Drosophila melanogaster: one gene and its partner. The protein of the gene in region 2 interacts with the protein of the main gene of each other region in a pairwise test. Each region holds a gene or a part of one and is shown on either strand. Other genes may lie near its edges.

Region 1 (5,310 bases), on a different chromosome or scaffold from region 2:
AAAAGACGATCCCTTCTTTAATCAGCAAACTCATTAGCATCGTCCGCTAACTAAATACAAATTAAAGAAACAGCATCCACAGCTGGCAAAGCCGCTTGCCTTTCCCCTTTTTCCACGCTTTTCCGCCTGCTCCTGCTGGTTGCTAAAAAGTTTTCACTTCGCAGCCGTCAAGTTGATGTAATGAAAAAGTTGCAGCATATTTTTAACAATATTTTCCCAGCTCATATCACATGACGTGGACACGCTGGCTACTTTCTACTGGCAAAAGCCAATGCTGCTGCGGAAAGCCTTCAAAACAACAAGAACTCGGCGTACAGGGCGCTAATTAGTTTCGAGTCGGCGTTTTCAATGGGAATATGGTTTGAAAAAACATCGCTCATACGCAACGTTGGCCCGCAGCCGCAGGTTATTATTATAATTTTGGTTCGGAATGGTAAAAAAAACGGAAATAAAACTTATTTCTAGCACACAAACTGAAATAAATAAACACTTTCGCTGCGAAAGTGGAGACCACACCCTCCACTCAAAGCCGTTTTGCACGTAGCTTTTCTCGTGAGCAGCCGTCGGGAAAATCGCTTGCAAAAGTGAAAATTGAACAAGGAACCAAAGGCGCAAAGGAAAACCATATGAGCAACGGGTTAGCACTGTGAAAGCGAATCCAGTGCAGCTCATTATAAAATAGCCAACGTAAAAAACCCTATTTCCGTTTTTTTTTTTTTGGGGGGGGGCGGGTCAAAGGTGCTCGCTCCGGACCCGAAAATTCACTTTGAGATTCCAAACAGAAATTTTAACGATGCATATAAAAACCCGGCGACGGCAAATGAATAAATAATTTATGCGTAAAGGTTCCTAAACATTCGAGTGGCTGGGTAACATTATTTGCAAAGTTACTCGTCTCTTCTTTCTTCGCATTTTCCACACGTAGCAAATTGTATCTCTCTATTACCTGGTGGAAGTAGCCTGATTTAGTGGCAGTGCCGCCCACCTTAGCCGAAGAAAAAGAAAAAAGGGTTGAGTTTAAAACCCAGCCAACCCCGCAAGTCGACTTTTCACGGGAGTCCCTTTGGGTTATGTTTGCTTATCACCTGGTTGGCTATCCAAACAAGGTGGAAAACGATTGCGGCCCTCTGTTTGCACATTTGGCACGTTTCAATTTCGCAGCGATTGCCGAACTGCATGCAAATTGCAACTGAATCCCACTTTTTTTTTGTACGTTTACTACTTTGCATATGGCAAAGAAACTGGGAAAGCACTTTCATCTGATGATCGACTGTATGGATAGACATCGGAGTGAGAAATAGTCAATTACGAAAATGATTTTCGTGAGTAATTATTAAATAAGCTGCAATTTCAGGTAGGCAGGCTGACTATAAACCATCGCTTATAGTGAAACGTGAGCGGAATTTAAAAAGGAAAGTAATTTACAAAATGTTTACAAATATATTGAGTATTGGTTAGAATAATTGGTTGCCGTTATTAGCATGTTTATAATAAGCGTGAACGAAAATAACGATTTTTAAACAAAATCGTTTCGTTGAAAATCAAAGTATAAATCTCTTGAAAAATATTGCATTCAATTCAATTAATCTTTTGCTGAAAGTGTAAACGGAAAAACACGTCTTCTGCTAGTAAAACTACAATTTTATTTCGCAGATCATTTCCCTTTTTTTTCGGATCAAACAAGAGTATATTCAGATCTAAAAAATGAATTGGAAGATGAGCAATGCGTTTACTCCTGCCTCAAATCGAAGCTGTCACTTGTCAGTGGCACGCGTTGCAGGAACGGAAATCGGAAAGTTCGCCCGGACTTTGGCTGTGACTCCAATTAAGCAGCTGGCGAACAGGTGAAACAGGTGAGACCCAGCAGAAGTTGTCATAACTGCCGTGGACACATTTCCATCGCCATCACCATCGTCCCTTTTTCTTCTGTCTTTTCCGCATTTATCCAGACTTATTGCTGCATTGCAAACAATACGAGGGCCATGTTGTAAATCCCCCAACAATTGTCTGCCTCCAGTTCGTTTTGTAACCTTTCGTTGCCCAGATTGCCCTCTCCTGTTTAAGGACGTTCCAAGAAAAAGCAGCCAGGGTTACCGATTAGGAATGTATGGCCATTGTGCATGTGAACTAATAACGCATTTGTATGTTTGCTTTTGAAAATGGCGAGTTAGCTTGAACGTGAACTCATCCGAAGGAACATTCGCTCAATGCAAATAAAACCCAATTTTGCTGAAATGAGCATTTTTTTTTTTTTTTTTGGTGAATCGTATGGGCATGTGGACCGATTCCAAGAATCAATTTACATGGCCATTCTCGTTTGGTCAAAGGAATAGGTGTCATAGGTTGATATTAAATGGAAATGCAGCATTGTAAGTGTGGCAATAAATAATTCAATACACAGCACGGAGTGACTTTCATTTTAGTTGTTATACAAGTGAATTCCATTTAATAATTTCATTCGTGATAAATGATTAAGGTATTCTTATTTGGAATTGTTTGCCAAAAAACATTTGCATTTAAAATTGTATACGCGCACAAAAGAGGCATAACTTAAATATTGCAGTGGTTTTGCTGACTTTCAAACATCATTGTTTAATTTTAAGCGAGTATGATGTTTAAATGTCTTTAATCCTACCAAGTGATTCTGCAAAATACCTCCCAGCCTTTTGCCCCGATTGATCACCATAAATAGCCCACTCCACAATCTTATAAATGCCGAATATCTCAATTGTGCACCATAGCCAAGGCAATTTCAAAAGAATATGTAATTCGGTTTCCATTTGAATATTTACGTCTCGCTGCCGAGGGCTTTCTCAATTGATTTGTAATTCACTTTTGTGTCGAACAATTCCGCGTTGAGCTCTCCGTTTGCCAGGCCAGGGTTTTTCTTATCGCCGGGATTGGTTTGGCCGGATTTTGGATTTTGGATTTTGACACCGAAACGGAATGCTTAAGCAAACATTAAAATGCAAACGCACAGGACGAAGCGATAAGGCGGAAAGAACAAGAGACCTTAATCGGTGGTCAAAAGCGGGAAAAGTGCGCGCGTTGCTGGGAAAACTGATTCGAGGCTCCTGTCACACGATGCGATTAATGACGCGTTCAAAAGCTGGTGGCAAGCGGAATCCGGAGCTGAATTGAGCTGGCTGAAAAGCGCGTTGCGAGTGTGTGTGCCGCACGGCCGACTGAAATCGACTGACTACGCTCGGCTGCTGCCACGGCATTTAAGGCAGAGAGTGAAGTCGGAAAATGCGAGGAAAATTCGGAGGAAAAGCGAGAGAGCACGCCGCGATGACATCAAGTGAAAGCTCTGCCATTTGAATCGAGAGACGGCTGTTAGTCCAACGCCAATATAGTACGGCAGCGAAATAAATCAAATTGAATCTATGATTTCGTTTTTGTGCACTTCTTTTTTCTACTTCAGGACCCCAGGACTCCTTGGCGCAGCCTCCTCCTCCTCCGCCTCCTTCTCGAGTGGATCCTTCAAGTTGTTTGCCACCGGATTTCATTTGGCTGCGGCTCAATGAGCCGTCGATTCTGTTTGTTCGAGTGGCCGACGAGCGCTTTAATCGCCCATCCAAAGCCAAAACCAAAGCCGCCACTCGAGACAGCTGGCAGGTGGCAGATTTCAGGTGAAACCCGAAGGTTTCCAGGTGCCAGGCCATCAGGTGGTGCCAAAGCTGACAGGTGAGAATCTTGTTTAACTTCGGCTTCTGCTCATTATGCTCCTCCCGTTTTGGTCCGACTTGGCCGTTTGTGCGGATAATTGCCGCCTTCAATTTAAATTGCCAACGAGCTTGGCGCACCTAATTTTCGATTTCATTTAATTTGGCGCAAATCTCATTAGGGCAAAAACGTCGCCCAAGATAAATGGCAGTGTGTTCTTTTGTTTTTTTTTCTTGCTCTTCGTCCGAGGCATCGAATCGCAGATACTTTGACCTGTGCCTGGGGCACTGGCGTCTTTGACTTTCCCTGCTCCGTCCGGCATGCCAAGTCAGCGATTTATTTGGGCCAAACAATGGCGGGATAACCCAGCAAACATTCACTGGCCAACTGATAAGCGCCAATCTCTTGGCAAATGATAACACCGTTGGCCTGGCAGCGCAGGCGCGAGCTTTTCCACAAGAGAGAGATAACGATGGAGAGAGTGGAAAAGCCAGAGAGCTCTGCCAACTGATAAGAAAGCAGCAGACTTATGCTGCCTCTGCATCTGCGGCTTCAATTGTCTTTAATCGCTGCTCAAATGTCGATGATGTCCTGGGAAGTGTTCTGTGGGATGGGTTGGAAAATTGGAGAGCGGTTACCCCGGGGAGGAACTTTAACGAATTGTCATTGATTTCTTTTGAAATGGCACCGCTTTTGTTTGCCTTCGCTTCTGCCACATTAGGCAGCTGAGCAGGGGGGGGATTCTGCTCCTCTAACTCTGATTACTGCAGCTCTGCCTATCGGGGGCAATGATCACAGATTGAATTTGCTCCGGCGGCAGCCGGTCTTAAATAATTATGAGCGCGTTTAATTAATAAGTTTGCCAAGGCAGCAACAAAGACCTCGAAAAGGGTTCTTCCAGAAATATGCTGTTATTGTTTTTGCGGCCGGGAAGCAATTAAGACCGCCTAGCGCATTGTCTTCTCGGCCTCAGCCCCGTTTGACCCCAACTTTGTTATAAATTTGCCTTTGTGCGTGCTCTGAAAAATGACCAGCCCCTCAAATGTAGAAAAAAATAAATATATATATATAAAAACTGTCACACAAAGAGTTTGAAAAACCGAAAATGAAAAAGAGATAACTCAGATCCGAAAGGGGCAGGGACTGGGGTGCCGGAGCGGATTGCTTCCTTCCTGCCGGGGGACGCTCACTTTTGCCGGTCATTAAATTTTTTTCCATTGCCTTTGGCAGTCGATACATATTTGGCTGCGTACATAAATAATGAGCTCAGTTGTTGTTTGGCCAGATTTGCAAATGTTCTTCGACAGTTTCAATTATTTATTTACCAGCCCAGCCGACGACTACAGTGAGCACTCAGTGGGGTCTTTAAAACTGGCAGGCTAAAAGCCAGCTAGTGGACACTCGAGACTTGCCAATTAGGACGTAGGAAAATTGTTTTACATGAGTTGGTTGAGAGTTACACATTTTTTAGCAGGACTATGGAGGGCAGCAGCAACTTTCACAGAAGTTTAAAGGGAAAAGTGCCATGCTAAACCATTAAAGTTTGATGTGGCTACATTTAGATACTATAAGTCCGGATTCAAATAAATTCATAAAATTCATGAAGACGAAAAACTTCTTCAGCTGTTAATAGTAAACCCATAT
Region 2 (4,465 bases):
AGCGGCATGTGTAAATGTCTTAATGCAGCTGGAAGCGTTGACTTCAGAAGTTGAGTTCCTCCTATCTCTGGATGTTTTCGATGAAAACCACTTAAACTTCCCAAAACCATAGAAAATATATAAAACTTACAGTAGCAATAACTCACCTGGAGAACCGTCCGTAATCGGGGATACCGTCATGCACATCTATTGAAACTTCACAGTCAGATGGGAGGGTACAAACTGTGACCCAGCTCTGAACTGAACACTGCAGCTCAGTAACAAACACTTTCGAAACCACAACGGATCACTCGAACTGGGTCACCCAACCGCAGTCGCCACTCGACACAAACTGTCGGCCACGCCCACACGCCCCTCCGAAAGGTGTCTGGTCGGTTTTGGTTTTGTTGTGCTTTTTACCCACTTTTTTTTTCAAAATACCTCACACAAAATAACTGTTTTTCTGTCGGCCATTTTGAGAGATTTTGCTTTATGTGAGCCCCGAAAAAAACCTGTTGGATAAAGCTGAAAGCCGAGTCTCTTAATAATAAATATATTTATAATGAAATGATCATATATATATATAAAAAAAAAACAGGTGTAAACAAGACAAAGCTCCAATAATTAATTGCCTAGCGTTAATTGAAATGCATAAATTATACAGGTAACTTTGCCATATCCGAAGTCGATGGCCCTTGGGCTCCGCCGGCAGAGGGCGAGCCATTGCGTCGAAGGTGCAAGAGTGGTGAATCAATCGTATCCAGACCACTGAGCTCCGGATAACGGTTCTTAGCGGGCGTGGGCGGTGCCTCTCGATAGGCATTGACATCGTTATCGTGATCGGGATTGGGGAACTCACTAGCCAAATGATAGATAACCTTCTTGAATAGGAACTCCGAAAGGTTGGAGCGCAGGAAGAAAAGGAACATCCAGTTGGAAAAGTTACACTTATCAATTACCGCCAATAATTCGTTTTCGTCCAGTTGGCCAGGCTTGGCCCAATAGAGAGACCAGCGGGTAAATGTGACACTAATTAAAGTGGGTTAGAAGGGTTATCACATTATGAAAACATATTTCACACCTATATCCATCCACTCACTTTCTGTAGAAGCACAGGGTTAAAATTCTCCAAAGCAGTCCCAGAACAGTAACAATCAAAAGGAAGGCGTACCAGAACCACAGAATAATGTAGATCTTCTCGTTCATGATGTTCAGCGCCATCACGCAAAGGGCATCGTGCATTTGAATGGAGCCAGAGTCACCAAATTTGTGGAACTTGCACTTGGTAATCTTCGGGAATACTAGATCCAAAACGCTCAGCTCGTCGGACCACCGATTTTTCAGGGCATGTGGTCCCAGTGTGAGGAATTGACCGCCCAAAAAACGGTTGGTCCATGTGATCTGCAGCAGAAGATTAATCAGATTGAGCACCTCCGCGAAGACCAAGTGGGCACCCCACGATTGATTCAGCCGCATCCGGTCGATCATTGTGCGACGAATGTCCTTGACCCGCTCCTCCGCCTCCGCCATCGAGGGAATGTTCAGCTTGCCGATACGCAGACTATCGTTCTTCAGGTACCTCGTTAGACCCACCATTCGAAGGCCAAAGACCAGGGCCTTGATCCGGCCGCCCTCCCAACTCTTCCACAGGGCATGGGGAATGTAGAAGCAGAGAGCCTGGAAGAACAGGACAAAGGGCACCCACTGGTAGTATGCATGCCGCTTGATCGTGTCCTTTTCGGGATCGAATGCCCCTATACCAGGTGGCTCACTTCCCGGCCTGTAGGCAGTTTGGTTCTGGTCACGTACCTATTTGGGGTGCAAGCTATGTTAATAAATGATCTACTGCCGCCAAGGCACATAAATAAAATCTATTCTATCATTTGATCATTTCAGGAATGGGTATGTGGCAACATATATCAACCAACTAATAGCAATAAAACGACTCTAAATCGATTAACCCTATTTAAGTTTTAACCAATAATCAAATAGAGTATTGATAACAGTTGCTCTCAATAGATACTTCTGTGTACCCCGTACATAGATATTTTTTTTAATTCCCTGGTGACCTCTTATAATTTTCCCTTTGTGACCCCGCTGACTTACCACTGTGAAGGTGGGCGTGAAGAAGCAGAAGGTGTTGATGACCGGAGACACAACACCGTCGGATAGGCACTGGATGTGCTCCCCGATGTACTGGCGCGACGTGATCAGGAGGGTGGCCACTAGGAGTATTACGAAGGTCCATCGATAGTGCAGCTTGAACACTATATTGTCGATGACCACACGCGTGAGATCGAACTTGAGGTACTGCCTCACCGAACTGAAGGTGTTCAGCATTGTAACGCCTTCGTTATCTTCGGTTTTGGGTTAGGTTCTGGCCCCGATCCGATCCGATCCGATCCCACTTCTACTTCGTTCACTTTCTTACGATGATTACGACAACTATGGCTGGGTGGCAATTGGAAACGGGCTGGCTTCTGGGTTCGGATGGATTTGTGCGCTCCGCTTGCCGCGGCTAGCTCCTCGTAACTGCAAGGCTCGAGACTCTGCACTTGGTCTCCGGGTCTCGGAACCTTCGGTCTCCGGTCTCCGGTCCCCGTTCGCCGATCTTCATCACCATTCCACATTCGTCGGAGAGGGCTTTCTGGCGCCTTATCGACCGCTCATTTTTGGCCAGGAGAGTCGCCCGGGCCCGATAAGATAACTTCGTCGGGCAGAAATACACGGAAATGCCGAATCAGCAATGGTATTGTGTTTAGTTCAGAGTTGTCCAAGAAAAGAGTAAGGGAAATATGAGAACCTACTGGAGTGCGCTACACTTAGCAGGACTTACGTAGACTATTGGACTATGAGAAAAAAAAAAGAAATTTTTTTCAGCTTCTGACTCGCAGTATAAGCTGAGAGAGGGGCACAATCTTTGTCACTTAGGTTTCAGTCTAAAATGTTAGCAATTTAATTCTTTCAGTGTAGGGCTCTCTTGATACCCAAGAAAACTCCGAAGTTTTTCGGTCATATTTCAAATTTCGCCCAAACATGAGTACTTCGGCATGTATTCGGCTCGTGGCTTCATAAGAATCCGAAAATGATAAGACGAAAGTCACAGAAAGAGCGAAAGAAATTATGAAAATAATACTCATTTTCTCAGGGTTTACCTCATCGGTAAGTTGGCTAAATCTCGCCCTGGTGGGTGGGTGAGTAACTTCCCACCCATCGAAATTCATCCAAGATCCAAGAGCAAAGAGGCCAAGATAACCAAGCAAACAATCATAGGAAATATGAATCAGTGCGGGAAAATATATATGTACATATATGACTCAAGAGATTCAGGATATCAGCAAATTAGTTACACTTCCAAAAACATAGCAAAAATCCCTTAGTGATGCAAGAAATGATCACTTGGTTTTAAGAATAACCATAGAGACTTGCATTGAAATCATTCAAGTGTGGAATTGCAAATTCCGCCGTAATCTGGAACTCTCCGGGTCTTAAAGCGTGCCGCTATCGCCACCCATATTGATTCAATACTGCCTATTCTGATGGATGGGACAGTAATTGGATAAGCGGACATATATCGGCTTGGCGTTATCGTATTGACCCAGATCAGTGCTAGACAGAGGGCTATGTACATACTTACTGAGACTCTTCTTCTTAAGATGGATTATTGCTCGGCTGTTTGCCTTTTTGGCGATATCGTTGCAAGGTTCCACGCAAGGCAATCAGGTGGATATTCACCCTGCGCACTATTGTATTTCATTCTTTGGCCCCGACAATCTTATCTTCCAGTCAATCCCCAGAAAAGACAACGAGTGACTGGCTTACTTACTTTCTAGAATGTAACGGAATTCCAACAGAGATTCGCACTATCAGCTCATAAGTATCTACATATATCTGTTGCTTATCTAAATAGCTCGCCTAGGCATTGTATTTTGGTGCTTATTACTTAAGCGCTCAAGTGGCCGCTCCAAAACTTTGCCGGATAAGATAGTCAAAAATGGCCCCTTTACATACGTACATATAACATTTATAAGTCGTGCGTAACTAGAGACCAGTTAACTATATTAGTAATTGCAACATTTTTAGCCGGTTGACTGCTCGAATTTACCTCTACTTGGGTTTCCCAGGAAATTGCTATGATTACGGCTACTACTTTTGCTTTTGCTTACGCCTCCCAGTTGACGAAAGTTCATTGATTCATGTTCAAATAACAATCGCATTGCTTTATTGGCATAGCCCAGATTTTGATATAAACTGATAGGCCATGCACGTTCTTTTGTCTTTGGCCATTTTGCAATGAAATTTAAATAAAGCAAACCACAATGAAAACGAAATTCGAACCATTCAAGCAAGGCGCTCCACACGTATTACCCTCGGCCACAGATTCAATTACCAGGCATAAGCAATACCAGTCAGTATATCTGCTCATATGTATATATGTACATACATACATATGTGGAATGCAGACATCGATATATATTGATATATT

Evidence for each region.
Region 1: the proteins of Inx7 (region 2) and CG43732 interact in a two-hybrid assay, tested with the Drosophila melanogaster proteins (one large-scale study listed by BioGRID).

Annotation. Positions count from the first base shown.
Region 1 is NT_033777.3:18,948,086-18,953,395, reverse strand, and holds the start of CG43732 (uncharacterized protein), read right to left. Parts: upstream 3,201-5,310; 5' UTR 2,793-3,200; intron 1-2,792.
Region 2 is NC_004354.4:6,991,095-6,995,559, forward strand, and holds Inx7 (innexin 7), read right to left. Parts: upstream 2,519-4,465; 5' UTR 2,320-2,518; coding exon 2,086-2,319; intron 1,789-2,085; coding exon 1,079-1,788; intron 1,009-1,078; coding exon 636-1,008; 3' UTR 518-635; downstream 1-517. UniProt on the Drosophila melanogaster protein: Structural components of the gap junctions.